7 linked regions of the Macaca fascicularis genome follow. The protein of the gene in region 5 interacts with the protein of the main gene of each other region in a biochemical or structural test. Links are inferred from orthologs where the notes say so. Each region holds a gene or a part of one and is shown on either strand. Other genes may lie near its edges. The genes, in order: CYSLTR2, CRHR1, CFTR, RPS6KA1, PDZK1, ABCC4 and SLC34A1.

The links.
Region 1: the proteins of PDZK1 (region 5) and CYSLTR2 interact in a test that uses a peptide from one of them, tested with the Homo sapiens proteins (2 studies listed by IntAct, with this or other methods). The link is inferred for Macaca fascicularis from reciprocal best matches to the Homo sapiens genes PDZK1 and CYSLTR2.
Region 2: the proteins of PDZK1 (region 5) and CRHR1 form a complex in vitro, tested with the Homo sapiens proteins (2 studies listed by BioGRID and IntAct, with this or other methods). The link is inferred for Macaca fascicularis from reciprocal best matches to the Homo sapiens genes PDZK1 and CRHR1.
Region 3: the proteins of PDZK1 (region 5) and CFTR form a complex in vitro, tested with the Homo sapiens proteins (2 studies listed by BioGRID and IntAct, with this or other methods). The link is inferred for Macaca fascicularis from reciprocal best matches to the Homo sapiens genes PDZK1 and CFTR.
Region 4: the proteins of PDZK1 (region 5) and RPS6KA1 interact in a test that uses a peptide from one of them, tested with the Homo sapiens proteins (2 studies listed by BioGRID and IntAct). The link is inferred for Macaca fascicularis from reciprocal best matches to the Homo sapiens genes PDZK1 and RPS6KA1.
Region 6: the proteins of PDZK1 (region 5) and ABCC4 form a complex in vitro, tested with the Homo sapiens proteins (2 studies listed by BioGRID and IntAct, with this or other methods). The link is inferred for Macaca fascicularis from reciprocal best matches to the Homo sapiens genes PDZK1 and ABCC4.
Region 7: the proteins of PDZK1 (region 5) and SLC34A1 form a complex in vitro, tested with the Homo sapiens proteins (2 studies listed by BioGRID and IntAct, with this or other methods). The link is inferred for Macaca fascicularis from reciprocal best matches to the Homo sapiens genes PDZK1 and SLC34A1.

Annotation. Positions count from the first base shown.
Region 1 is NC_088391.1:27,835,566-27,839,475, forward strand, and holds part of CYSLTR2 (cysteinyl leukotriene receptor 2), read left to right. Parts: intron 1-3,151; coding exon 3,152-3,910. UniProt on the Homo sapiens protein: Receptor for cysteinyl leukotrienes. The response is mediated via a G-protein that activates a phosphatidylinositol-calcium second messenger system.
Region 2 is NC_088390.1:67,418,894-67,422,803, forward strand, and holds part of CRHR1 (corticotropin-releasing factor receptor 1), read left to right. Parts: intron 1-2,166; coding exon 2,167-2,239; intron 2,240-2,489; coding exon 2,490-2,575; intron 2,576-2,749; coding exon 2,750-2,885; intron 2,886-3,042; coding exon 3,043-3,084; intron 3,085-3,662; coding exon 3,663-3,803; coding exon of another isoform or gene 3,804-3,852; 3' UTR 3,853-3,910.
Region 3 is NC_088377.1:158,981,568-158,985,477, forward strand, and holds part of CFTR (cystic fibrosis transmembrane conductance regulator), read left to right. Parts: intron 1-440; coding exon 441-530; intron 531-1,409; coding exon 1,410-1,573; intron 1,574-2,701; coding exon 2,702-2,827; intron 2,828-3,910. UniProt on the Homo sapiens protein: Epithelial ion channel that plays an important role in the regulation of epithelial ion and water transport and fluid homeostasis. Mediates the transport of chloride ions across the cell membrane.
Region 4 is NC_088375.1:208,563,940-208,567,849, reverse strand, and holds part of RPS6KA1 (ribosomal protein S6 kinase alpha-1), read left to right. Parts: intron 1-2,691; coding exon 2,692-2,772; intron 2,773-2,938; coding exon 2,939-3,018; intron 3,019-3,910. UniProt on the Homo sapiens protein: Serine/threonine-protein kinase that acts downstream of ERK (MAPK1/ERK2 and MAPK3/ERK1) signaling and mediates mitogenic and stress-induced activation of the transcription factors CREB1, ETV1/ER81 and NR4A1/NUR77, regulates translation through RPS6 and EIF4B phosphorylation, and mediates cellular proliferation, survival, and differentiation by modulating mTOR signaling and repressing pro-apoptotic function of BAD and DAPK1.
Region 5 is NC_088375.1:113,739,852-113,743,761, forward strand, and holds part of PDZK1 (Na(+)/H(+) exchange regulatory cofactor NHE-RF3), read left to right. Parts: coding exon 1-55; intron 56-1,114; coding exon 1,115-1,310; intron 1,311-3,572; coding exon 3,573-3,769; intron 3,770-3,910. UniProt on the Homo sapiens protein: A scaffold protein that connects plasma membrane proteins and regulatory components, regulating their surface expression in epithelial cells apical domains.
Region 6 is NC_088391.1:86,099,450-86,103,359, forward strand, and holds part of ABCC4 (ATP-binding cassette sub-family C member 4), read right to left. Parts: intron 3,471-3,910; coding exon 3,261-3,470; intron 1,627-3,260; coding exon 1,486-1,626; intron 748-1,485; coding exon 710-747; intron 322-709; coding exon 227-321; intron 1-226. UniProt on the Homo sapiens protein: ATP-dependent transporter of the ATP-binding cassette (ABC) family that actively extrudes physiological compounds and xenobiotics from cells.
Region 7 is NC_088380.1:184,329,563-184,333,472, forward strand, and holds part of SLC34A1 (sodium-dependent phosphate transport protein 2A), read left to right. Parts: intron 1-3,344; coding exon 3,345-3,414; intron 3,415-3,682; coding exon 3,683-3,850; intron 3,851-3,910.

The sequences.
Region 1 (3,910 bases), on a different chromosome or scaffold from region 5:
GTTCTGTATTATCTTTGCCTCATTTTGGTATCAGGGTAATACTTAGCTTCAATAAAATAAATTGAGAAACACCTTTCTCTTCTATTTTCTGAAAGACACTGCATGGAATTGATGTTAATTCTTATTTAAATAGTTGGTAGAATTCTCCAGTGAAGCCATCTGAATCTGGAGGTTTCTTTTTTTAGAGTTTTTCAATTAAGAATTTAATTTCCTTAATAGTTATGGGGATATTCAAATTATCTACTTAATGTTCAGTGAGTTATTTTTCATTTTATGAGGAATTAGTCTAGTTCCTCTAAGTTGTGAAATTTATGTTTGTAGGGTTATTCAAAGTTTTTCTCATTATTCTTTTGATGCCTCAGGTATCTATCGATAGTGTTATCTCCTGTTTTATTCCTGACAATGGAAATTTATGTCTGTTCTATTTTTTTTTGTACCTCTTGCTAAAGATTTGTCAGGAGATGTAATATTTTATTTAATATATGCAATTTTTAGTTCATTATTGTCTTCATCTGTTCTGCTACTATAAGAAAGTTACCTGGCCAGGCATGGTGGCTCACGCCTGTAATCTCACACTTTGAAGGCCAAGGTGGTAGGATCACTTGAGCTCAGGAGTTCAAGACCAACCTGTGCAACATGGAGAGACAGCATCTCTACAAAAAAGAAAAATAGCTGGGCATGGTGGCATGCACCTGTAATCAATTGTATTGATTGTTTTCAAATAACCAGTTTTTCATTTCATTTTTTCCCTATTTTTTTCTGTTTTCTATTTCTTGATTTCTGCTCTTTACTATTTCCTTCCTTTTGCTTGCTTTTTTCTTCTTGAGGATGGAGCTTATATTCTTATTTCGTGACTTTTCCTTTTTGTAATGTATGCATTTAGTGTTATACAGTTTTGTCCTAATACTGCATTTGCTACATCTCACAAATTTATATTTTCACTTTTATTCAGTTCAATATATTTTTTGTTTCCCTTGAGACTTCCTCTTTGACCCATGGATTATTTAGAAGTGTGTTGTTTAGTTTTCAAGTGTTTTGAGGGTTTCCTGTTATCTTTCTGCTGCTGATTTCTAGTTTGATTCCCTTGTGGTTAGAAAACACATTCTATATTATTTCAATTATTTGAAATCTATCGAGGCTTGTTTTATGTCCCAGGATGTGGTTTATCTTGGTATGCGTTTTGTGAACACTTAAAAGCTTAAGTATTTTGCTCTTGTTGGGTGAAGTGTTTTATACATGTCAATTTGATCCTGTTTGTTGATGGTGTTTTTAGTTTTTCTATACCTTTGTTGAGTTTTTGTCTATTTGCTTCATCAATTGCTGAGAGAGGTCCTTGAAGTCACCAAGTATCTCTCCTTTCAGTTTTATCAGTTTTGCTTCAGTTTTGCCACTCTGTTGTTTGGTGCATACCCATTTAGAATTGGTATGTCTTCTTAGTGGTTAAACCCTGTTATTATTATATAGTGTCCCTCACTGTCTCTGGCAATGTCCTTTGCTTTGAAGTCCATTTTATTTGATACTAAAAGAGCTATCCCTTATTTCCTTTGATTTGAATAGCAAGCATTTTTCCATCCTTTTACTTTCAACCAGCCAATACTGCTATTTGAAGTGTTTGTTGTAGGCAGTACATAATTGGGTCATTTAAAAAATATATTCCATTCCTCTATCTTTTAATTGGTATATTTAGATTACTTATATTTAATGTAATTATTGATGAATCAGGATGTCTGCCATTTTATTTTTTGTTTTCTGTTTTTATTGTCTCTCTTCTTTTTCCTGCGTTGTTGTTGGTTATCTGAATGCTTTTTAGAATTCCATTTTTATTTATCTGTAATGTTTTTGAGTGTATCCCTTTGTATATCATTTTAGTGGATGCTCTAGGTATTTTCTCTCTCTATATATATATATATAAAGATATATATATGTATATATATAAAGATCTATATGTATATACATAAAGATATATATATAAAGATATATATGTGTATATATATCTTATGATAGTCTATTAGCATCATCATTCTACCAATTCAAGTGAAGTATAGAAAACTTATTTCCTCTTACATCTCTTTACCTTCCCTCATTTATAATATAATTGTCTTAATAATTCCTCTACATCCATTTAAAACCACATCAGGCAGCATTAACGTTTTTATTTCAAAACATTAAATGTAACTTAGACTCTAAAAGAGAAGGACAGCCTATTGTATTTACACATATTTTGGCTTACCATGTTCTTTCTTATTTTCTAATATTCTAAGATTCCTTATTTTATGAATTCCTTTCTGCTTAGATAACTTCCTTTAGTCATTATTTGTTGTTGTTGTTGTTGTTGTTGTTGTTGTTTTTAGATGGAGTTTCACTCTAGTTGCCCAAGCTGGAGTGCAATGGTATGATCTCAGCTCATTGCAACTTCTGCCTCCCAGATTCAAGCGATTCTCCTGCCTCAGCCTCCCAGGTAGCTGGGATTACAGGCACCTGCCACTAGGCCCAGCTAATTTTTGTATTTTTAGTAGAGACGGAGTTTCAACATGTTGGCCAGAATGGTCTTGAACTCCTGACCTCAAGTGATCCACCAGCCTCAGCCTCCCAAAGTGCTGGAATTACAGATGTGAGCTACCATGCCCAGCCTGGTCATTCTTTTAAGATAGATCTGCTGACAACAAAGTCTCAGTTTTCTGTCTGAAAAAGTCTTGATTTTCTCTTTGTACTTGAAGGATGTTTTTGCTGGACGTAGAATGCTAGGTTGGCAGGTCTTTTCTTTCAGCATTTGAGAAATGTGCCATTTCCTTCTGTCCTCCACAGTTTCTGATGAGAAATCTGTTATTCAGTAGTTTTAGGCTGCAATATCACAGGGAGGTATTCATGTCAACATGGGCACCAGGTCACAAGTTCCCTAAGTTTGAAGTGTCAACTTCGACCAAACAAATTAATGGCTATTCTATATTCAAAAATCAGGAAGTTTAAATTTATTATGAAGTGTAATGCAGCATATATTAAAGACTTAACCAGCGTTTTAAAACTCAACTTTCAAAGAAAAGATAGTATTGCTCCCTGTTTCATTAAAACCTAGAGAGATGTAATCGGTAAGCAAGAAGGAAAAAGGGAAATTCACAAAGTAACTTTTTATGTCTGTTTCTTTTTAACCCAGCATGGAAAGAAAATTTATGTCCTTGCATCCATCCATCTCCGTATCAGAAATGGAACCAAATGGCACCTTCAGCAGTAACAACAACAGCAGAAACTGCACAATTGAAAACTTCAAGAGAGAATTTTTCCCAGTTGTATATCTGATAATATTTGTCTGGGGAGTCTTGGGAAATGGCTTGTCCATATATGTTTTCCTGCAGCCTTATAAGAAGTCCACATCTGTGAATGTTTTCATGCTAAATCTGGCCATTTCAGATCTCCTGTTCATAAGCACACTTCCCTTCAGGGCTGACTATTATCTTAGAGGCTCCGACTGGATATTTGGAGACCTGGCCTGCAGGATTATGTCTTATTCCTTGTATGTCAACATGTACAGCAGTATTTATTTCCTGACCGTGCTGAGTGTTGTGCGTTTCCTGGCAACTGTTCACCCCTTTCGGCTTCTGCATGTCACCAGCATCAGGAGTGCCTGGATCCTATGTGGGATCATATGGATCTTTACCATGGCTTCCTCAGTAATGCTCCTCAACAATGGCTCTCAGCAGAAGGGCAGTGTCATATCATGCTTAGAGCTGAATCTCTACACAATTACTAAGCTGCAGACCATGAACTATATTGCCTTAGTGGTGGGCTTCCTGCTGCCGTTTTTCACACTCAGCATCTGTTATCTGCTGATCATTCGGGCTCTGTTAAAAGTGGAGGTCCCAGAATCGGGGCTGCGGGTTTCTCACAGGAAGGCACTGACCACCGTCATCATCAC
Region 2 (3,910 bases), on a different chromosome or scaffold from region 5:
GGTTTAGGCTCCCAGCCTAGCTTGGTGACACTCCCAAGGGCCTTGGGCCATGCTGGCTTTCCCCTCAGGACCATGGCTTCTGCATCTGTAAAGGGAGGGATCTGGGGGGTTGGACTCATTCAGAGGGTCCCTGCCTGTGCTCTGCCTGGGTGGGACTGGACAAACAGGATCCAGCCTCCTTTATCTGCCTTGAGCTTACACAGGAAGCAGCCTGGAGCCAGACTGCCCAGGTTCAGAATCGTGGCTCCGTCATTAAATAGCTGTGTGACCTTGGACGGATTACTGCAGCGTGCCTCAGTTTCCTCATCTATAAAATGGACATACTTCCTCAAAGGGCTGTTGTGGGGTGATATCAGTCCATCTATATTAAGCATTTAGAATCGGACCTGGCACATAGAGCAAATGCTGTATAAATGTGTTCTCGTAATATTAAGACATCTTAATAGAAGAGTCCGTGAATTTAACAGAAGTGGACCTAGATGATCCCAGAGGCTTCTTCCAGCTCTGAAGTTCTTTGGTTCCTTATGAAACGGACTCAGGTGTTTCCAGTCGTGCCTGGAAACTTGATTTCTGCTGCAGTGGTGCTCAGCCTTGGCTCACATTAGAATCACCTGGGATGCTTCGAAAAGTACCAGTGCCCAGGCTTCACCGCCAGAGAGTCAGGTGTAATTAGTCTGGGGTGTGGCCTGGCACCCAGAATTCTTGAAAACTGCCCAGGTGATTCTAATGTGCAGCTAAGATTGAGAACCACTGAGAGAGGGGGGGGCAGAAAAGGTGGACGTGGATGGCAGGGGAGCCCCAGGACCTTGTTTGCCAAACAGGTGTTCCCAGGAACCTATCTGACTGACTGACCTGGCGTCCAAGTGGCCTCCACCACAGTGACAAGCCCTCTCCTCACCCCACGGAGGGGAGGGGGCCTGCATGGCTTCATTGGGCTGACGAAGGAGCCTGGAAGATTATCTTGCGTGTTTAGGAGGTTGACTCTCTCCTGACTCAGGCTAGCTGAGGCCTTGGGAGGCCGAGGCGGGTGGATCACTTGAGGTCAGGAGTTTGAGACCAGGCTGGCCAACATGGTGAAACCCCATATCTATTAAAAAAAAATACAAAAATTAGCTGGGTGTGGTGGTGCGCACCTGTAGTGCCAGCTACTTGGGAAGGCTGAGGCAAGAGACTCTCTTGAACCCAGGAGGCAGAGGTTGCAGTGAGCCAAGATCGTGCCACTGCTCTCCAGCCTGGGCAACAGAGCAAGACTCCACAAGCCTCAAAAAACAAAGCAAAACAAAAACTGTTTGGGCTAAAGGAGAAAGTGAGTCTGAGCGGCTCTGAAGCCCCACCTGGTGGTGAAAATTCAACACTGCAACAGAGGGGATCTGGGTGTGAGAAAGCAGAAACGAACTTGCAGACCAGAGGCTCAAGGACTGGACCCAGCCCACAGAAGCTGTGTGTGGCCGGCAGGGTGTTTTCTGGAAACTCGATTTTGTAGCCAAGCTTTAAAAAATCCAAAGGTTTCGTATACAAATCTCAATTTCTGGCTTATGAGATCTAGCCACTGGGGGTCTTCTTACCCACGGGGACATAAGGGCTTCCAGTTTGTCTGGTCCCCACCCACTCCCCAGGCCTCCCTGGAGCTTGCTGGAGGGACACTCAGGAAAATGCAAAGCAATTACCCCCTGCAGCAGGTAGAACCTGTGCAGATGTTCCTCTCAAGGTCGTTCGGGCTGCGATTGGACAGGTTCAGGCTGAGATTGAGAACTGCTGGGTGCCCACTGGGTGACACGTGTGGTACCACTCCCACCAGCAGCCCCCCAGAGGACATGCTGGGCCTCAGCCACAGCCAGGGGACCGTGAGGAGGAGCCAAGGATGCAGCTTGCGTATTGAGCTCACGCCCATTCCCGGCCACGCAGTCTTTCCCACTGTCTGCCTCCTGCCCCGATGCTTGCTTCCAACTTTGCATCTCATCACAGAGGATGCTGTCCATTCTGCAGATGGGACAACTGAGGCTTGGCAGTGGGATCAAGTGACTTGACCTTCTGCCAGGGTTGGAATTGGGACATCTACCTCCTGGCTTCCAGCCCCAGTCCTATCCTGGCCAAGCACTGTCCCTCCCCATGCCACCGAGGCAGATGCAGATGATGACTCCTCCCCTTTCCTCTGTGGCCTTCTAGGTGCTGGTTTGGCAAAAGGCCTGGGGTGTACACCGACTATATCTACCAGGGCCCCATGATCCTGGTCCTGCTGGTAAGACCCTGGGTAGGGGCAGGAGACAGGGCCCAGTGGGGAGGGGCGATCAATGCCAACCGTGGACAGAAAGGACCCCTCTGCCTAGAGGTGGGGGCCACCCAAGGAGGGGGCATGGGCCAGGGATGTGCAGCTGCTCCTGAGGAGGAGGGAGAACAGCAGGAGCACTGAGGCCAGAGAGGCCAGAACTGAGAAGCCTGGGTCCCCAGCCTCTTGCACACTCCAGCCTGCTGGTGTGCTCAAATTGCAGATCAATTTCATCTTCCTTTTCAATATCGTCCGCATCCTCATGACCAAGCTCCGGGCATCCACCACGTCTGAGACCATTCAGTACAGGTAACCGGGTACCACCTCCCCCAGGCCTCCCCCTGATGAAACCCCTGCTCCCCATGCCTCTCACGTGCCAGAGACCTGCCACTCCCTCCCCCGACCTGGCCCTCTGCTGAGCCAGCGGGCAGCCAGTCCTGGGGTGGGCTGTGACTCCAAGCCTCCCCACCTGCCCCACCCCAGGAAGGCTGTGAAAGCCACTCTGGTGCTGCTGCCCCTCCTGGGCATCACCTACATGCTGTTCTTCGTCAATCCCGGGGAGGATGAGGTCTCCCGGGTCGTCTTCATCTACTTCAACTCCTTCCTGGAATCCTTCCAGGTACAGCCCTGGAGGGGCACACTGGCACCTCCTTGGGTGGGGATTCTCCCAAGCAGATGCCTGGAGGGTAGGAGGCCAGGGAGAAGCAAGGGGCAGCCCAGAGGCTGGGTGGGCAACACCTGTGACCGACCTTTGACGCCTCCTCTCTCCTCCCCAGGGCTTCTTTGTGTCTGTGTTCTACTGTTTCCTCAACAGTGAGGTGAGGACCTGGGGGCCCTGCGGCGGGGCTCAGGGCTGCAAGGCCTGTTGGGGCTGGCGATAGTCTAGAGCCTTCTCCTCCCCTCCCAGGGCTGGCTCTCTCCCTCCCTGTTCCTCCTAGGTCCCTAGGGGGATGCTGCTGGGAGCCCCAGGCCGGCCCCTCCCACCTGTCCACTCCCACAGTGACAGCTCTCTCCTTTGCTCTCAGAGGCCGCTGGCACCAGGCTGGAAGCCAGAGCTCCAGTATCTTTGATGAGCCTGTGACAACCAGGAAGGGCTGAGCCCTGGGCAGGGGATATGTGTGGGTTGAGAGCAGGAAGCCTTGATGGCAAAGGCCATATGGTGTCTTCGCGTGGGTTAGAAAAGGGTGCCCCTTCCCCAGGACATTTGAGAAACCTGTTCCGGCAAATATGCAAAGCAGCCATGTTAAGGCTGTGAGTGCCATCGCCTCCTGAGGACTTCTGTGTACTCAGCTGACCTGCACAGCCTCTTACCTGAGCAGCTGCTCATGCCGACCCAGGGGAGGGAGGGGGTCCTGAGCGCCAGGCTCAGATGTCATGCTCCTTCCTGTGCCCACAGGTCCGCTCTGCCATCCGGAAGAGATGGCACCGGTGGCAGGACAAGCACTCGATCCGTGCCCGAGTGGCCCGCGCCATGTCCATCCCCACCTCCCCCACCCGTGTCAGCTTTCACAGCATCAAGCAGTCCACAGCAGTCTGAGCTGGCAGGTCATGGAGCAGCCCCCAAAGAGCTGTGTCTGGGGGGATGATGGCCAGGCTCCCTGACCACCCTGCCTGTGGACGCGACCTGTTAGGTCTCATGCCCAC
Region 3 (3,910 bases), on a different chromosome or scaffold from region 5:
TTCATCATATACTTTTATTGACTTTAAAAGTAATTTTATCCAAATGAGTTAGTATAGAACTACATGAAAAATTCAAGGCCAAGGCTTAATTTCAAATTTCAGTACCTTTGGCTCTATCTTTTAAAACAAAACCAAAAACTCCCACACGGTATAAATGGTATTTAAGTATAATACCATTCTCATTGTGAGGAGAAAAAATAATTGTTTCTCTCTAGATGCTGGAAAATAAAACAACTAGAAGCATTCCAGTATAGTATTGACTGTTAAAAGAAATATTTATGAATCTAAGATGATAGTAAGCTAGATGAATAGAACATAATTTTCATTACCTTTACTTAATAATGAATGCATAATAACTGAATTAGTCATATTATAATGTTACTTATAATATATTTGTATTTTGTTTGTTGAAATTATCTAACTTCCCATTTTTCTTTTAGACTTTAAAGCTATCAAGCCGTGTTCTAGATAAAATAAGTATTGGACAACTTGTTAGTCTCCTTTCCAACAACCTGAACAAATTTGATGAAGTATGTACCTATTGATTTAATCTTTTAGGCACTATTGTTATAAATTATACAACTGGAAAGGTAGAGTTTTCCTGTATCAGATAAGTGGTTAAGTCTTGCTCAGCTCTAGCTTCCCTATTCTGAAAACTGAGAAAGGTCAGTTGTATAGCAGAACACCATCCTGGGGTCTGGTAGAACCACCCAACTCAAAGGCACCTCAGCCTGTTGTTAATAAGATTTTTCAAAACTTAATTCTTATCAGACCATGCTTCTTTTTAAAACTTTAAATCTGTTATATACTTTGGCTGAATATGATACTCTGAGCAATTCTTGTTCTGTGTTGTCTTATGTGATAAATAAATTCAAGGTCCTTGGGACATATGATGTGTTTTATTTATCTTTGCACATCCAGTACTTAAAATAGCATGAGACCCACAGCTGGTACAAAATTAATTACTGTTGAATTGAGCAAATATTTGTTCTAAATGTCTCTATCAAATGACAGAGTTGTGCAGTTGTGTAGACTGAGTCTCTGGAGAGAGTTCTTTGTTCTCTCATGTTCTGTGCTGTGGTTCTTGCTTTATGCAAAAAAAGTAAGTTACTTAAAACCTGGACTAATGATAACTTAACATGTCCAATCTCAATTCCACTGAATAAAAATATGCTTAAAAGTGCACTGGCTTGAAATTTGTTCTTTGGGGAAACCTATTCTATGTGTAGAATGTTTAAGCACATTGTTATGTGCTCCATGTAATGATTACCTAGATTTTACTGTGCTCAGAACCACGAAGTGTTTGACCATATAAGCTCCTTTTACTTGCTTTTTTTCATATATGATTGTTTGTTTCTAGGGGTGGAAGATAAAATGACACCTGTTTTTGCTGTGCTTTTATTTTCCAGGGACTTGCATTGGCACATTTCGTGTGGATCGTTCCTCTGCAAGTGGCACTCCTCATGGGGCTAATCTGGGAGTTGTTACAGGCCTCTGCCTTCTGTGGACTTGGTTTCCTGATAGTCCTTGCCCTTTTTCAGGCTGGGCTAGGGAGAATGATGATGAAGTACAGGTAGCAACCTATTTTCATAGCTTGAAGGTTTTTAAAATTATGTTTTCAAAAAGTCCACTTTAGTAAAACCAGGACTGCTCTATGCATAGAACTGTGATCTTCAGTGTCATTAAAAAAGACTTTTTTTTTTTTTTTGGAGATGGAGTCTAGATCTGTCACCCAGGCTGCAGTGCAGTGGCACGATCTTGGCTCACTGCAACTTCTGCCTCCTAGGCTCAAGCAATTCTCCTGCCTTAGCCTCCGGAGTAGCTGGGATTAGCGGCGCATGCCACCACGCCCGGCTAATTTTTGTATTTTAGTAGAGACAGGGTTTCACCAGGTTGCCCAGGATGGTCTCGAATGCCCGACTTCAGGTGATCTGCCCACCTCAGAGCCTCCCAAAGTACTGGGATTACAGGCATGAGCTACCGCGCCCGGCCTAAAAAAGACTTTTTAAGATGGTATAAATATTACTTCCTGTATCAATGGGACATTTTTTTTGCTTCTCAGTCTCCTGAATTTGTTTATAAATATGTTGATTCAGTTCATTTTTTAGATTATAAAACAGTTAAAAAATGGATAAAACATTTATGTGAATTAAAGGGAATACCTAATTTTTGTGTAGAGTTGATTAGCTTTTACTACTCTGGTTTATGGATCATCACACCAGAGCCTTAGTTACTTTGTGTTACAGAATAACTAATACTAGTGAATGAATGACTTACACAAGTCACTGCTTATGATAAAGGGCTTGAATTTGTCAGCTAGAGTATGATAGAAAGTATATAAATTTTGGAGTCAAATAGCACTTTGTTTGAATCCCAGATTGCATACTTACTAGTTATGTGACCTTAGTCAAGCCACTTCATCTCACTGAGTCTTTGCTTTTTTCATCTCTAAAATAGAGATACCCACTGCTTATAGACTGTTGTAAGGGATAGAGATGGCAGATGGAATGAGTCTGTACAATATCTGACACATAGGAGGCATTTACTAAACAGTAATTATTATTTTTGTTACCATCTATTTGATAATAAAATAAATGCCCATCTGTCGAATAAAAGAAATATGACTTAAAACCTTGAGCAGTTCTTAGTAGATAATTTGACTTGTTTTTACTATTAGATTGATTGATTGATTGATTTATAGGGATCAGAGAGCTGGGAAGATCAATGAAAGACTTGTGATTACCTCAGAAATGATTGAAAATATCCAATCTGTGAAGGCATACTGCTGGGAAGAAGCAATGGAAAAAATGATTGAAAACCTAAGACAGTAAGTTGTTCCAGTAATTTCAATGTTGTTAGTAATTCTGTCCTTAATATTTAAAAAATATGTTTGTCACAGTAGACTTCCACTTCTTATTTGATGTTTCTGACAATCAAATGATTGCATTTAAGTTCTCTCAATATTCATACATTAGTTGCACAAATTCACTTTCATGGGCTGTAGTTTTATGTAGTTAGTCCAGGGTGTTATTTTGCGCTGCAAGTATATTATATTGATACCTTATTAAAGAATTTCCTACATGTGTTCACTGCTGCTCAATACATTTATTTCATTAAAATAATGATCAAGATATTGAAGGCTGATTGGTAACTCAGATGGAACTGGTAGAGTATACAATTCTGAACCAAATAAATGATTCTCTATTATTATATCTTAATTTATGTGTTACGGTACATTAACCATGAAAAAACTTGTGTCTGGTTAGAATATGTTTGCTCTTCCTTAACTTGGGAATGACATAGGGTAGTATTCACAAATTGGGTTCCTATAAATCCTCCACTTGAAGTGAAGTCAGTTCAAGTAATGAAAGCTACCTCCTGAGATAGCATCAGTACTTGGCACCTATCTCTAGTGTTCTTTCACCTCATATAACCTTTCACTGATTAGTAAGGATTATATCCAACAAAGAAAGTACAGCGCAGACTGAGTTATGATTACTGAGATAAATCTGGGCAAGATGTAAACTATAGCATTTCTGTAGCAATGAGACCATTTTTCTTCAGTTGAGCTCCATGTTCTACAAACTCCAATCTAAAAAGGTTCTAGGAGACTCAGTGAAAGTTGATACACTGTTCAAGGAACAAATAATTTCAGCACATGAGAATTTCACAGGGAAAAATATACTAAAAAGAGAAGTACCCTTATGGATGGTGTCAGTATGGGTTATGAGGAATTCAGGCTGCTGAGTCCAGTACACAATGGTAACTGAGCTGCAGGTGTGTGATTGGAACAACAAAAGAAATGCTGAAATATTAAGTCCTTTGCCATGTAAACAGAAAGAGTAAAAGAGTATTTATTTCCCAAACATTATTGGTCACCTGTTTTTGTTATGCATTTCAAGATAAATCC
Region 4 (3,910 bases), about 95 Mb from region 5:
ATCGCGGCACCATACTCCAGCCTAGGCGATGAGAGCAAAACTCCATCTCAAAAAAAAAAAACAAAGGAAAAAGAAAATGTAAGGTGACCAAAATAGTTAACTCTGGTGTGGTCCCTGTCGTGTCTAGTGAGGAAAATACAAAAATTAAAATAGAGGAAGGGGCCCACTGATGTGAAAAGTGCTCTGAAGGGAACCAGCTCTGTAGCCCTGTGTGCTGACACAGAAGGCGTGTTGGAAGGCAGCTGCAGCTTCTACTTGTAGCAAGGGCCGAGGATTGTGTCCCGAACAAGACTCTGGAAAGACGTGCAGGAGGAGCACATTGGCCAGATCTCCTAAGATAAGCAACTGTGAGCATCAATTCTAGAATGGCAGTGACGATTGAATAGAATTCATACTAGATGGATGGACTAGTGAAGGCTTTGGGACTATGAGGCTGGAGAGGAAACTGCCGATCCAGTACATGGACCAAAAAAGCCTTTAGTTTTGCACTGTGTGTATTGCTCAGACATTTTGTCTGGTCTTAGTAAGCATTCCTTAGCCTTCCACCTCTCCTTTTAATAGAAGTCAAGGCCGGGTGTGGTGGCTCATGTCTGCAATCCCAGCACTTTGGGAGGTCAAGGTGGGTGGATCATTTGAGGTCAGGAGTTCAAGACCAGCCTGGCCAACATGGTGAAACCCTGTCTCTACTAAAAATACAAAAAAAAATGAGCCGGGTGTGGTGCGCCTGTAATCCCAGCTACTCGGGAGGCTGAGATACAAGAATTACTTGAATCTGGGAGGCAGAGGTTGCAGTGAGCCAAGATCACACCACTGCACTCCAGCTTGAGTGACAGAGTGAGACCCTGTCTCATAAAAAACAAACAAAAAAACAAAGGCCACATGAGAGGTCTCAGTCAAGGGATAATCAATATTGTAATAAACTTAAGTTGAAACACAGTGTCCAAAATGAACCTAAGCAGCCAAGTCCAAAAGCCTATTTTTTTTTTTTTCTTTCCCACGACAGAGTCTCGGCACATGCCACCAGGCTGGCTACTTTTTTGTATTTTTTACTAGAGACAGGGTTTCACCACGTTGGCCAGGATGGTCTCGACCTCCTGACCTCATGATCTGCCTGCCTTGGCCTCCCAAAGTGCTGGGATTACAGGCGTGAGCCACCACACCTGGCCCTAAAATTTGTATTTTTTTTTTTTTTTTGAGATGGAATCTCACTCTGTCGCCCAGGCTAGAGTGCAGTGGCGCAATCTCGGCTCACTGCAACCTCCGCCTCCTGGGTTCAAGCCATTCTCCTGCCTCAGCCTCCCTAGTAGCTGGGACTACAGGTGCCGCCACCACGCCCGGCTAATTTTTTTTGTATTTTTAGTAGAGACGGGGTTTCACCGTGTTAGCCAGGATGGTCTCGATCTCCTGACCTTGTGATCCGCCCGCCTCGGCCTCCCAAAGTGCTGGGATTACAGGCGTGAAAAATTTGTATTTTTAATGCAGACAGGGTTTCACCGTGTTGGCCAGACTAGTCTTGAACTCCTGACCTCAAGTGATCCACCTGCCTTGGCCTCCCAAAGTGCTGGGATTACAGGCATGAGCCACCCCCGGCCCAAAAGCCTGTTCTAATCACACTAGAAAAATCAATAGGCCGGGCGTGGTGGCTCAAGCCTGTAATCCTAGCACTTTGGGAGGCCGAGACGGGCGGATCACGAGGTCAAGAGATCGAGACCATCCTGGCTAACGTGGTGAAACCCCGTCTCTACTAAAAAAAAAAAAATACAAAAAACTAGCCGGGCGAGGTGGCGGGCGCCTGTAGTCCCAGCTACTCGGGAGGCTGAGGCAGGAGAATGGCGTAAACCCGGGAGGTGGAGCTTGCAGTGAGCTGAGATCCGGCCACTGCACTCCAGCCTGGGTGACAGAGCGAGAGCAAGACTCTGTCTCAAAAAAAAAAAAAAAAGAAAAATCAATAAAACATGATACTTGGTGGGCTTCAATAAATTTAGAAGGCAACCTGAAAAAGAGAAGAGTGCTCTGAAGGAGAAGCACTGTAGGAATCCAGAAGGCCCTAACTCAGCTTGGCAAATTAGGGAGTGCTTCCTAGAGGAGGTGAGGCCTAAGCTGAGCCAAAGAACCTGCTGAGAGTCAGAACTGCCCGACAACTTTTATTCTTTGAAAAAAAAAAAACATATATGAAGGGTGCCCGCCTAGACCCATGGATCGGGATTTTAGGCCCAGGGAATCTGCCTCTCTAGCTCCCCAGGTAGCCGTTCTTACCAGCCCTGACTGGAATTTGGGAATTTTTATGCCAGATGGAAAGCAGGGCTGGTGAAGGCGTGCCAGGGGGAGGTGCAGAGGCAAAGTCTGAGGATGTGACAAAACAGAGCACCTGGGGAGCAGGTTGCTCAGACTGGCTGGTTAACAGGCCTTGATGGGGCGTGGTGGGAGAAGGGACCAGAGAGAAGGGCAGGGTGCCAAGGCCCCAGCTGTGGGCACTGCTGTGAGGGGTGGGAGCAAGGAGCCAGCCAAGGAGCCAGAAACAGACTGGGAAGGAAGAAACCTGAGGATTGAGTGTCCCCAAAGCCCTGGGTGAGGGGGCCTTGGGAGCTCAGGCCTGGAGGAACAAGTGGAAAAGAGATCCCTTAGCGGGGGCTTGGGAGTGACTGTGTTGAGTGTCTAGACTACTGGTGACTTCCTTTCTCGTCTGGCCAGTACGTGACCGTGTCCGGACCAAGATGGAGAGAGACATCCTGGCTGATGTAAACCACCCATTCGTGGTGAAGCTGCACTATGGTAAAGCTGCAGGCCCTATCTGAGCTCCTCCCCTACCCATCTTTCACCCTTGCCTGTGGTCTGTACACTCTCCCACCGCCTGCCTGGTAGGCCAAGGGAGCCAGGGCTGAAGGGGCAGGTCGTAAGGCCCGGGTGACTCTACCATTGCCTTTCTCCCTCTCCCCAGCCTTCCAGACCGAGGGCAAGCTGTATCTCATTCTGGACTTCCTGCGTGGTGGGGATCTCTTCACACGGCTCTCAAAAGAGGTGAGCTGACATCTACTGCCAGAGGGCCCCGGCATGGAGCTGGGGGACAACAAGGTCTCCCATCCCAGGGCCCTGTACAGAATGTGTTCAGATGGCTTGAATCTGGAACCACCCAGGCCTGCCTAGCAGCCCCTGGCCCGGGAAATACCATTCACCCTCGGATGGAGGCCATACGCTGGCAAGGTCTCTGAGAGTTTCTCCCAAGGAAACTCTGGGGAGCTAAGGGTTCCTCTCACCTCCGCACCTGCATTCTTCCAGGGCTGCTCTGAGCAGAGGTGTGAAGATACGGGAGAAGCCCAAAGTCACCCAGAGAGCCAGACACTTCAGCAGTCATCTCCCATATGTCATCCAACAGGATTTTGAACCAATATAAAAGGATTTGAGGCTGGGCGCAGTGGCTCACACCTGTAATCCCAGCACTTTGGGAGGCCGAGGCGGGCGGATCAGGAGGTTAGGAGATCGAGACCATCCTGGCCAACATGGTGAAACCCCGTCTCTACTAAAAATACAAAAATTAGCTGGGTATGGTGGAGTGTGCCTGTAATCCCAGCTACTCAGGAAGCAGAGGCACAAGAATCGCTTGAACCTGGGAGGCAGAGGTTACAGTGAACCAAGATCGTGCCACTGCACTCCAGCCTAGTGACAGAGCGAGACTCCGTCTCAAAAAATAAAAAAAAAAAAAGATTTGAGCTAGAAAATGGGGTCATTCATACAATTCAGACTTTAAAGAGAATCTAGCCTTTTTTGTTTTTTTTTAATTGTAATTTTTTTTTTTTTTTTTTTTTGAGATGGAGTTTTGCTCTTGTCACCCAAGCTGGAGTGCAATGGCAGGGTCTCAGCTCACTGCAACCTCCGCCTCCCGGATTCAAGCGATTCTCCCGCCTCAGCCTCC
Region 5 (3,910 bases):
TGAAGTGAATGGAGAGAATGTAGAGGATGCCAGCCACGAGGAAGTGGTTGAAAAGGTATGCCCCAAAGGGTACTTTTCTTGCCCTATCTTCCACTCTATTCTCATTGGAGGTGACAGAAAGACAGGGGTGGTAGGGGACAGCATGAGTTTATGATGGGAAAAAATATCCAGCTGAGTTGCCCCTTCATATTAAGGGTGAACAGACTCTCACTAGTGGTATAAGCAGTGTTAATACAGGTTTTGGAATAAAGCCTTCCCTAATTTCACATAAGGTCTACAAAACTATTAACCTTACCTTTTGGATCTTGTTTGTATCGGATTGGGAGCCCCCTCTGAACTGTCTGATTGAGACAGGGTCTCACTGTGTTACCCAGGCTGGAGTGTAGTGGCACCATCTCAGCTCATTGTAGTCTCGGCCTCCTGGGCTCAGATGATTCTTCCACCTCAGCTTCCTGAGTAGCTGGGATTACAGGTGTGCACCACTGCGCCTGGCTAATTTTTGTATTTTTTTTTTTTTTTTTTGTAGAGACAGGGTCTCACTATGTTGGCCAGGCTGGTCTTGAACTCCTGAGCTCAAGTGATCTGCCCGCCTTGGCCTCCCAAAGTCTGGGATTATGGGCGTGTGTCACTGTGCCCTCTGAATTTACAATAAATTCACTGTTGAGCCGATAATACTGAAATGCTTTAATAGGAAGTGGGATATAACTGAGATTTTCCTTTGAGGTCATATGGAACCTTAAAAATTGACCAACCTTCTCTTCTCTTTGTAGAATGATTTTTTGACGTGGACTCTTACTTTCTTTTCTTTTCCAAACTCCTGTTCTAGCTTTTATCTAGGTACCTTTATGGGTTTTCTGAATTCTAGCTCCTACTTGGGCTCAGTTAGTACCTATGTGGGTGGGTCATATTTAAATAAGGGAAAACAACTCTAGAAGTGGAGATAGATACGTATCAGTTAGCTGGCAGGACATAGTGTAACAGCTTAAACTCAGGCCTTCTATCCCCTATCTTTTGTTGAACCTAGAGACTGTGTGCCTTTATACAGAAACGTTCTTATCCCCCAGCATTGTTCTTGGGGGTTGATATTGTTCCTCATCTGTGTGTGTTGTTACAGGTGAAGAAGTCAGGAAGCCGTGTCATGTTCCTGCTGGTGGACAAAGAAACTGACAAGCATCACCTTGAGCAGAAGATACAATTCAAAAGAGAAACGGCTAGTTTCAAACTGTTACCCCACCAGCCCCGAATTGTGGAGATGAAGAAAGGAAGCAATGGTTATGGTTTCTATCTGAGGGCAGGCTCAGAACAGAAAGGTAAGGTACAACAGCAGGAAACTTGGCAGTGTAACCAACAAATTCCTCATCCCAGTCTGACTCCAGAGTTCCATTAGACTCCCAACTTCCAACCAGATGCATGAGGGACACAGCAAGAAACTAGAAGGCACAGCTGGGTCAGAGTCTATGTCACATGAGGCTCTGATATTGGGCATCAAAAGTTTCCGTAGCATTATGATAAGGCAGAATTTGGGATCTGGGCAATGGTATCCTGGTAAGCTGGCTCTCTGGCGGGGGGCGGGGGTGGTGGTGGAATACAAATTGGTAGCATTTGTTGGTTTTTGTGATGTAAATACTCCTCCCATGTCCAATTTCAACTTACTAACAAGATGTCACTGAACACAACGAAGTGTTGCACAGAATTGGCTTTTGTGAGCCAGTATAGCACACCGCTGGACCTGAGGCCGAGGTGTGGGTGAGGATCTGGGACTCAGAACCAGGAGTCCTCCTTCTTTGCAACTCAACAGGGAGAACACTAGGTTCTTTCAGGGAAGGTAAATACATAAAAGAACATGAGTTCAGGCCGTATAAACTGTTACTCACCCATAAGTTGTTATTTTCTTTTCACTTTATGTTTACATTAATTTATCAAATATTAATTTGGTTTGTGTTTTGTAAAAACATCCTCAGTGCCTTGGAGAAACAATATCATATGAATCAGACAGGAATTCTTTAGTCAAGGAGTCTACCATTTAGTAGATAAGAGATAAGGGACTTATGTCCACAATGAAGGGAGATAGAGGTTAAGTACCTTCATACAGGGGCAGATTAAGCGCTGTGATAATTCAAGGTTAGAGTAAGCTTTTCTCACTAAAAAGGTACCAGAAGCCCTCATAGCAGGGGTGGCCCTTGAGTTCAGGCTTTGTAACATGAATAGATTTGGGAAAGTAGGCAGGGCTGGGACAAGGAAGATCATTCCAGGAAGGGGGGAGTCATGTGAACACTGTCAGGAGACATGGGCACAGTTTAGTTGGCACATGATGCGTGGTGCAAGAATTCGTTGGAAGGGTAGGCTGGAGAGAGGTGACAAGGGAACTTCTATGCAAGATTGACGAGTTTGGACTTGGCTCATTAGATGATGGGGAGTTATTTTTTGAGCAGTATAAGGGAGAAGAAAAAAACAGCCTATAATGTCTTGGGGGCTTTGCACGTCTCAATTACTCCTAACAATTATGCGGGAAGAACTGCTGAAATTGAGGGCTTGGAGAAGATACAGTAATTATGTAAGGTCAAATAGTTGTTTAGTTCCAAAGCCCATGCTCATTCTGTTGCACCAGGGAGTGACGTGGTTAAGAATGTGCATCAAGATGGATCTGAAGGCCGATCTGTATTGATTGGGGAAGGGACAGCAGTAGGAAGGTGCTGTCATAGTTTACATAGAATTCTAGGCAGGAACTAACACAAACTGCATTCAGGGTGGAGGAAGTGGGATGTGTAAGATATTAAGGTAGCATGAGAGGACTTAGCAATCATCTAGATATGGGGACTGGATGCTGGGGAAGAATCAGTTGCCAAGTGTTGGTGGCTAGGAGGATGTTGCTCCACTAACAGGTAACCAAGAGGAGGGGCTTTGGGGTGGAGAATGGGCAGAGCTGATTTTTGGTTTGAATACATTACAGTTGAGAGATCTATGAGATGTTTTGTTGGAGATACCCAGCAACTAGCTGGAAAAGGGAAACAGGAGCTTGTTTAAAAAAAAAAAAAAAAAAAAAGAGCTCTGGCAGCATCTGGTAAAGATACCAGAAGGCCAAAGGCACATGGAGGCATGTATATACAAATACATTCCCAACTGAATACACCCAATTGCTACTAAAATGCCAGCATGGGTTTCTTAAGGTCCAAAGTTTTAGGTTTTGTTCTTTATTCTTTCCTGTCCTTTAATGACAGCTTTTACATAAGAAGAATGGCTACAAGTACGCCCACTGACTTCCTGGGAACTTATAGTCTTTTAATATGCTATTGTGCCAAAATTGAATATCAGGCACTTTTAGTAACATGATTATTTCCATTAAGACCCCTTCATTGTTAATGGCTGGGTTAATTTCTGGAGCGAGTTCTGAGCAGGAAATGAGCCTAGATAGTGTGCTTATAAACTTCCTGGGATGCTGGTGGAAGGGACTATAGTTGTACTCAGCATGCTTTTTACATCTATTTCATCAGGGCTTTAGGCTCCAGCAGAAATTTTTTTTTTTTTTAAGGGACTTACTGATAATTTTATTTTTTGGGGTGGGGGGAGGACAGGTCAAATCATCAAGGACATAGATTCTGGAAGTCCAGCAAAGGAGGCTGGCTTGAAGAACAATGATCTGGTAGTTGCTGTCAATGGCGAATCTGTGGAAACCCTGGATCATGACAGTGTGGTGGAAATGATTAGAAAGGGTGGAGATCAGACTTCACTGTTGGTGGTAGACAAAGAGACGGACAACATGTACAGACTGGTAAGTAATACAAGGCCATATATTCATGCATTAAGGCTGGGCCCATTCCCTCATGCCCTCAACCTTTGCACTGAGTTAGGACTTTGTTCCTTAAACTGGAAGAGGCCTAACAATCATCATTAAGGCTGAACTGAAGCTCAA
Region 6 (3,910 bases), on a different chromosome or scaffold from region 5:
TAACTTTCAAAATCCAGTACAGAGCACATTAAGAGTCTTCATTCAACCTCTTTCTTCTAGTAGATTTTTAAAATAATTATTCTAATTAATTCACAGAGTAAATTCGACTGAGACTCCTAATCTGTTAAGACATTACTGAATTACTCCTGGAAGCCCTAGTTACTCACACAGGCTCATTGTAAGCACCTCAGCCTCTCATATAATAGACCAAATGATTTAACTTTACCTGAATAAATTCCTAAGTACCAGTTAAGATCTAGCTTCATGGTTACATTTCCTCCTCCATTTACAGTGACATTTAGCGTACTTTGTTGGTTTGCCCTATGGAACATGGGGAGAAAAAAATATTAAGCTATATATGGAATTTAGAGAAATACCTTTTTTTAAAAAAATGAACCACAATTTGAGAGAAATGCTTTATGCTGGAAAATGATTCTCAGCTCATATAGTCCTGTGTGTATCTACCTCATAAAAATTCAATTTAAATCACGACTTTCAGTTCCCGAAACTGTCTGTGAACATGATGCCGCAGATCAGACATGGGTGGAGACCACCACAGGTTACACTCCACCAGCAAGCACTCTAACTTTTCTTCGGGTAAACTAAGTGAGGATTAGGAGAAGGATCAACAAATATCTCCCCCTAACTCTACGGAAAAGCGAGTCTTCTTACTGATGTTTGACTATTTCATACGTCAGAAATAACTTACCAGTACGAAAGCCACCAATCTTGAAGAACATAGGCAACCTAGGAGGTGAGAAACAACAAAGACAAAAATCAAACTTGGGCATGACTTACCAACTCAAAACTCTCAATCACTAACATGGACAATTGAAAGAAAGCCCTCAAAGCTGTGCATGGTGGCTCATGCTTGCAACCCCAGCACTTTGGGAGGCTGAGGCAGGCAGATCAACTTAAGGCCAGGAGTTCAAGACCAGCCTGGCCAACATAATGAAACCCTAGGTCTACTAAAAATACAAAAATGAGCCTAGCCAGGCATGGTGGCACATGTGCCTGTAGTCCCAGCTACTCCGGAGGCTGAGATAGGAGAACTGCTTAAGCCCGGGAGGCGGAGGTTGCAGTGAGCCAAGATTGCGCTACTGCACTCCAACCTGGGCAACAGTGCAAAACTCCGTCTCAAAAAAAAAAAAAAAAGAAAAAAAGAGAAAAAGAAAAAAATAGAAAGAATAAAAAGCTCAGAGAACTTGCATAGTTCTTCCAGCTCAGGTCTACGCTGAGCCCAAACTCCCAGATATCAAGAACTCAAGAAAACGCATGTTCCATTTTAAAATCATTGAAAGATACCCTTTTTTTCCCGCAGAAGGTCTTTGTAATGGGACACCACTAGGCAGCCCTCACTTTGTTCCCCAAAGACAGCACATTTCAATTCAGATCCCAAGTGAACTGCAAGATGCAGTCAAAATAGCATAAACACAGGTACTGTAAATATCATTTTGAGGGCACAAAACAAATGTCATTATTTACCTGAGCTGCAGTGTTTAGGAGAATAAGGAAAATGATGACAATCCAGTGAGCACCAGCTCTGAAGTAATTCTTATAGGCCTGAAAACCAACTTTTCCTTCAGAACGGTTCTCGTCTGAGAGTGTAACTGGGACATTCTCCGTCTGCAAAGGAAAGGGTGGTAAGAGACAAAATCGTATACAAAACTGTTCCCAAAGATGACAATGCACTCTGTTGACAAAGCTGTGGGGAAACAGGCAGAAGTCCAAAATGATCCATCTCCTGTGGAGAAGGGTGTGGAAATATCCAGCCAAACTATACATGTACTTACTTTTTATTTATTTAATATTTTTTGAGACGAAGTTTCACTACTGTTGCCCAGGTTGGAGTGTAGTGGAGCGATCTTGGCTCACTGCAACCTCTGCCTCCTAGCTAGGTTCAAGCGATTCTCCTGCCTCAGCCTCCTGAGTAGCTGGGATTACAGATGCCTGCTACCACGCCTGGCTAATTTTTGTATTTTTTAGTGGAGACAGGTTTTCACCATGTTGGCCAGGCTGGTCTGGAACTCCTGACCTCAGGTGATCCTCTTGCCTCAGCCTCCCAAAGTGCTGGGATGACAGGCATGAGCCACCACACCCAGCTACATGCACTAATCCCTGGACTCAGCCATCCCACTTTCAGGGTTCTACTAGAGGTAAGGAAATATCATTTGTACACTGTGGCATGGCTTGCTGGCAGGATGACATCAGAATGTCCAGCACTTACCGAGCACATCCAAATTCAAGTATACATACAGAAACTTGTTCCAAAATCATGTACAGAAAGATATGGAACTCTCAACTGCATCACTCAATATGGAAGCATAAAAGAGCAGAAGGTCAAAACATGAGCTCAATACAGTAACTGGGTTCAAGCAGTGAGTCTGAGTAACCAGAGTTTGGAAAGCAAGGGATAGCATATGATCCTAATCTGTTTGGTTCCTGAGTTTCAGAAATTGACTCCTGAGAATTTGGCATGTGAGGGCCTAATCTGAATATCTGCAAGAATCCTTCAGGCTCCTGGATTTGGATAGTGAGGGTTAGTGTGGCAAGGAATATCTATGTTTTTAAGTGAGCTCTGGTACATTTCTGCCTGGAGGACTTAGAAGGCATGAGATTCACATACTCTGAGGATGCACTGAGCAGCTCTATGTTGGCCACTGGGAATACCAAGATGAGTAAGATGCAGCTCCTACCCTTGAAAGGTAAAGAAGGAAGATGGGCTGCTGTGTGTCAGCAACTGTTGGGTCTTTGCACGTGCTACTTCTAGCCTAACATAAACCATCTGACAACAGGGCAAAATACCTCCCTCAGCCACGTGCGGCGTCAGAACATTCCAATATATAGGAAAAGTGGCTAACTTCATGTGGCCCACAGCAGGACTTTCTCTAAGGCGGTCTTCAAATTATGCCTCTGGATGCAAAGAGAAGTCGGGGGCCACCAGACTAACTAGGACTTCACTACAGTAAATTCAAGAATTGTAATATTAGCGTGAGTCACACACAGCTTGGGACTTGCACCAGTACACACACCTGCTACTCATCTCCATGACATTCCCAGCCTACACGCAAAGGATTACTCCAACCAGAGTTGTTTGCCTTGGTTCTGTTTTAATCTACCAATATCACGGAACAGGGCCTTGAAACCACAGAATCTACTTTGGGACAAAAGACGATGCTTCAAACAGAGGAGACTAAAGATCCATAAGGCCATTAGCAGTCAACAAAACCAGGCCATGTTGTAACAGGAGGTAAACTCACGTCTTGGGTCTCCACAGCACCATCTTTCAAGGAGGGTCTAGAAGATTGCTGAGACCAAACCGAAGACTCGGAGAAGGTGCGATTCCTCAGCGTGGGAGTTCCTGGAACTGGAAGTTGTTCGCTTTCCTCGTTGTCCTTCTTCAAAAGGGAGCCAAAATCTATACCAGATTTTAGGAACTCAGTGTAAGTCCCCTTCTGCACCATTTTACCCTAAAATAAAAATAAAGAATTTCAGAGAGATACATTTGCAGGTGACAACGTTAACCTAATCTAATTCTAATCCAGAAAAGGTAACTGATCTTAAATTATGATTATACTTAGGTCCGGAATCCTAGTTGACAAATCTAATACAATTCAACCTGATACACAACCGGGTGCTCTGTTCTCAGCCAGAGCCCATGTTAGGTACTGAAGAATATTTTTTAAATGGTAATAGTGTGTTGCAAATGGCGATCATTATCACATAGATGTTGGTGACCGTATCGGTAGTCTTATTACACATGAAAAACTGAGATAAGCCTTATGCAATAAGAATTGAAGGAATGAGTAAATTGAGAAGGATATTCCAGGAAAGAAACCTAACACTGATAGGGGGGTAGGACCAGGCATATCTGCACAGGTAGGAAGCACTCCACAAGCCTCCACTGGCC
Region 7 (3,910 bases), on a different chromosome or scaffold from region 5:
GGATTATCAACTATACCTGCCTGGAATAAACAAGCATCTTTTGAGGACTTGCAACCTGGGAGGCAGGGATTATCACATCCCCCATTTCACAGATGAGGAAAACTGAGCCCCAGAGAAGTCCAGTGGCTTGTAGGATACAAATCCTGGTGGAATCCTGACTCTCTATCTGGTTGCCTCTCCCACTCACCGGTCTGACATTCTACTATATATGTCTGTTTCCCATGCTGCCCATCAGGCCTGAAGGCCACCAGGTGACCACAGCCCCCTGGAGACCACCCCAGAGGTAGCGGGTGTTACTCTAAGGAGGAGTTCTCCTTTTCGCCACCAGATGGTGCTGCTGGCACAGTGCTCTCCCTCTGCTTCCAGAAGAACAAAGGCCCTAGCGCGCCCCTTCTTCTGTGGGGGAAACTACTGCGCAGGCCCACATCCTGACAGGCTTCTGTGAGCTTCATCACCTCCTTCAGTTCCCAGAAGGGGTCTCTTTAATTTAGGGTGTCCCTGTAGGCACTTAAATCCCAACTCCCTCTTCCATAATGCTGCCAAATAGCCTCTGGGAAAAGGTGGGCAGCATTATGGACTTCATGCTGCAGAGGAGGAAACTGAGGCCCAGAGAGGCTAAGTGTTTGCTCCAGTGTCACACAGCTGGGAGTGGCTCAGCTGGGGTATGGACCTAGGGCTGTCCACAGGCCAATTCTGCTCTTCCCACAGAGCCCACCACCTGCTTCAGGTCCCTCCGGCCTCTCCTACCCAACCCCAGGCCCAGGCAGGGATGGGCACATCTTGGGAAGATGCCCCCAGATCCTGGGCCTCCCAGCTCTTTTATCTAAGCTGGAGTTTCCGTCTTCTCCCTCTACCCCACAAGGAAGCCCCAGGGCCTGCTCCCTCCTGGCAGTTCCCTCTCCGCCTGGCTTTGTCCCTCCTGCCACCTTTACCTTCCTCTCTTATACTTTAGGGTCTCTGGCCTCCCAGCCAGGGCCACACAGCCCCACGCAAGAAGGTCAAGGTTCTAAAAACCCAGAGGGCTTGGCCCTGCTGCTGCCCCTGCCAGTCCTAAGTCGGGACCCCAGTAAAGTTCCCCATTCTCCTCCAGCCTCCCCAGGACCCCACAGTCCTCCCCACAGAGACCTCTGGGCCCAGCCCAGGTTAGGTCAGTGGGGCACAGGTTGACCAGGCACCCACTCATTCAAGGGGTTGTCTGCTCCCTCAGCCCCCAGGCTGGGTACTCCCAGGAAGGTCCAAGCAGATTCCTCCCCAACAGGGCCAGGGTTCTCAGGTTCGTCGGCAGGGGGCACTGGTCCTGACCTAGGAAGTCAGTCACACACACAGCCTCCCCGCCATGTGGTCCTGAGCAGGCCCAGGGAGGGAGACGGTCACTCCGTGTAGGAAGACAGTTTACCGAAGGCTCACTATGAGCCAAGCCCTGTGATGAGCGCTTTAAACACATTTCCCCCTGCAGCCTTCACAGCAGCTCTTCTCTTACCCTGCGTTAGAGAAAACGGGCTCTGAGAGGTGGCATGGCTTACCCAGGGTGGTTGGTATAAGAAGCAGGATTTGAACTTACATCTGCCTAACAGCAAACAGCTGGCTCGCTCTCTCCCTTACCCTCGCAGTAGTTACCGTCGCTTTTCCAGCTTGGTTTTCCCATCTAGCCCAGCACAACCTATTTTTTCCAGGCTTCTTGGCCTGCCATTCAGGCCCAGTCTTGATGGGTCCACAAGGCCCTGATGTGGCGAACTGGGAGCACACAAGAGCACATTGCCCCATTCTAGGGAGCACATCCCGCTAAAATAAACCCGGATATTACACCAGATGCCATAAAATTTCTTACCTTGGCCAGCGCAGTGGCTCACACCTGTAATCCCAGCACTTTGGGAGACCGAGGGGGGGCAGTGAATCACCTGAGGTCAAGAGTTTGAGACCAGCCTGGCCAACATGGCGAAACCCCGTCTCTCCTACAAATACAAAAAAATTAGCCAGGCGTGGTGGCGGGCGCCTGTTAACCCTAGCTACTCAGGAGGTGGAGGCGGGAGAATCGTTTGAACCCAGGAGGCGGAGGTTGCAGTGAGCCGAAATTGTGCCACTGCACTCTAGACTGGGCAACAGAATGAAAACTCTGTCTCTAAATAAATAAATAAATAACTTACTAGCCCAACAAGGCTAAAAATTAGTTGTCCACAGGCCAGGCTGGCCTGCTTCTGCTGACCTTCTTTGAGTTGTAAAGATAACTCTAAGTGGTTGCCAATATTTACAGATTGGGAGTTTGTTGCTTTTGGGGTTTGTTTTTGTTTTTGTTTTTTTGAGATAAGGTCTTGCTCTGTCACTCAAGCTGGAGTGCAGGGCCGTGATCAGAGCTCATGCCAGCCTCGAACACTTGGGCTCAAGAGATCCTCCTGCTTCAACCTCCTGAGTAGCTAGGACTACAGGTATACACCACCATGCCCTAATTTTCTTTGTGGAGACAGGGTCTTGCTATGTTGCCCAAGCTGGCCTCCCACTTCTGGCCTTGAGTAAGCCTCTCACCTCAGCCCCCAAAGTGCTGGGATTACAGCCATGAGCGACACTGCACCTGGCCCAGATTGGGAGATTTTATCTAGAACTTCAGAGTTGTGGCTTCTCTCATAGAAATTGGGCAATTTAGCCATGCCAGGCTGCGTCCCTGGATGGTGACAGTGACCAGGAGCTGAGTAACTGCTGACTCTATAAGCCCAGCAGAAACTCTCCCCACCTCTTCCACACATAGCCCGAGCTGCTCACTTAGGTTACCTGCCCAGCCCTGTGGCCCTCTGAATTGTACGGCCTCCCTGGGGAGCCCCTTTGTTTCACTGACAGTAGGTGACAGAAGAGATGTGTGGGCTGGGCCCTCTGTCCCCCCACATCCCCTGAGAATAAGGAATTGATCTAGAGGAGAATGGAGCTTGGGCTAAGGGTGTCTTGGAGGAGAGGAAGGAGCCAGGATGCTGGGGAAGGGGCACCAATAAAGGGATTGGTAATAAAAGATGAGGAAGGGGGAGTTTTCAGACAAAGAGGAACACGTTCAGCAGCACGGAATGCCACTGAGAGAGGGAGGAAAAGAAAGACAGGAAGCCACAGATGTGGCCCTGGGGAGAGCTGGGCCAGTGGAACGACAGGGCAGAACACACAGAGGGCCAGATTCTTGTGTGGCAGCTACTTTCATCTACATGTCCTCAGTGGAAGAGACAGGCTCAGAGAGGGCAAGAGACCCATGCATGGTCACAGAGCAGGAGGCCCATCTCCATCTTCCCCATCCTTCCCTAACCCCCATCTCGGCTCCAACCTCAGGCTATGTTTTCCTAATTCACTAAGTCACCCTCCTCTTAATGTAGGCTCCCACCTCCATGTCGAGAGCAGAGGCCAACTCCAGCCAGACCCTTGGAAATGCCACCATGGAGAAATGTAAGTGCCTGAAACATGGTGTCCAGAATGGCAGGGGCAGAGCCTAGCAGTGGCAGGGCAATCCTGCACCAGCTGCCAGCCACTATTGTGTCCAGCCCCAGGAAGGACAGCTGTCAACCAGCCCATCTCCTGAGCCTGGGTCAAGCTCCGGTGTTAAGGCTCAAGGAGCCTGAGGTGGGGCCTTAGGCTCAGAGTCCAACCAGGTGGCAAAGGTGGGGACCTGGGAGCCAGGTATGGGGTCAGCTGTCAGGAGCTCCACCCCCTGCAGGCAACCACATCTTTGTGGACACCAGCCTACCGGACCTGGCTGTGGGGCTCATCCTGCTGGCAGGATCCCTGGTGCTGCTGTGCACCTGCCTCATCCTCCTCGTCAAGATGCTCAACTCCCTGCTCAAGGGCCAAGTGGCCAAGGTCATCCAGAAGGTCATCAATACCGGTGAGCTGCGAGCAGTTGACTGGGCAGGGCCGCAGGATGGGCCTTTCCAGATCCTGCTAA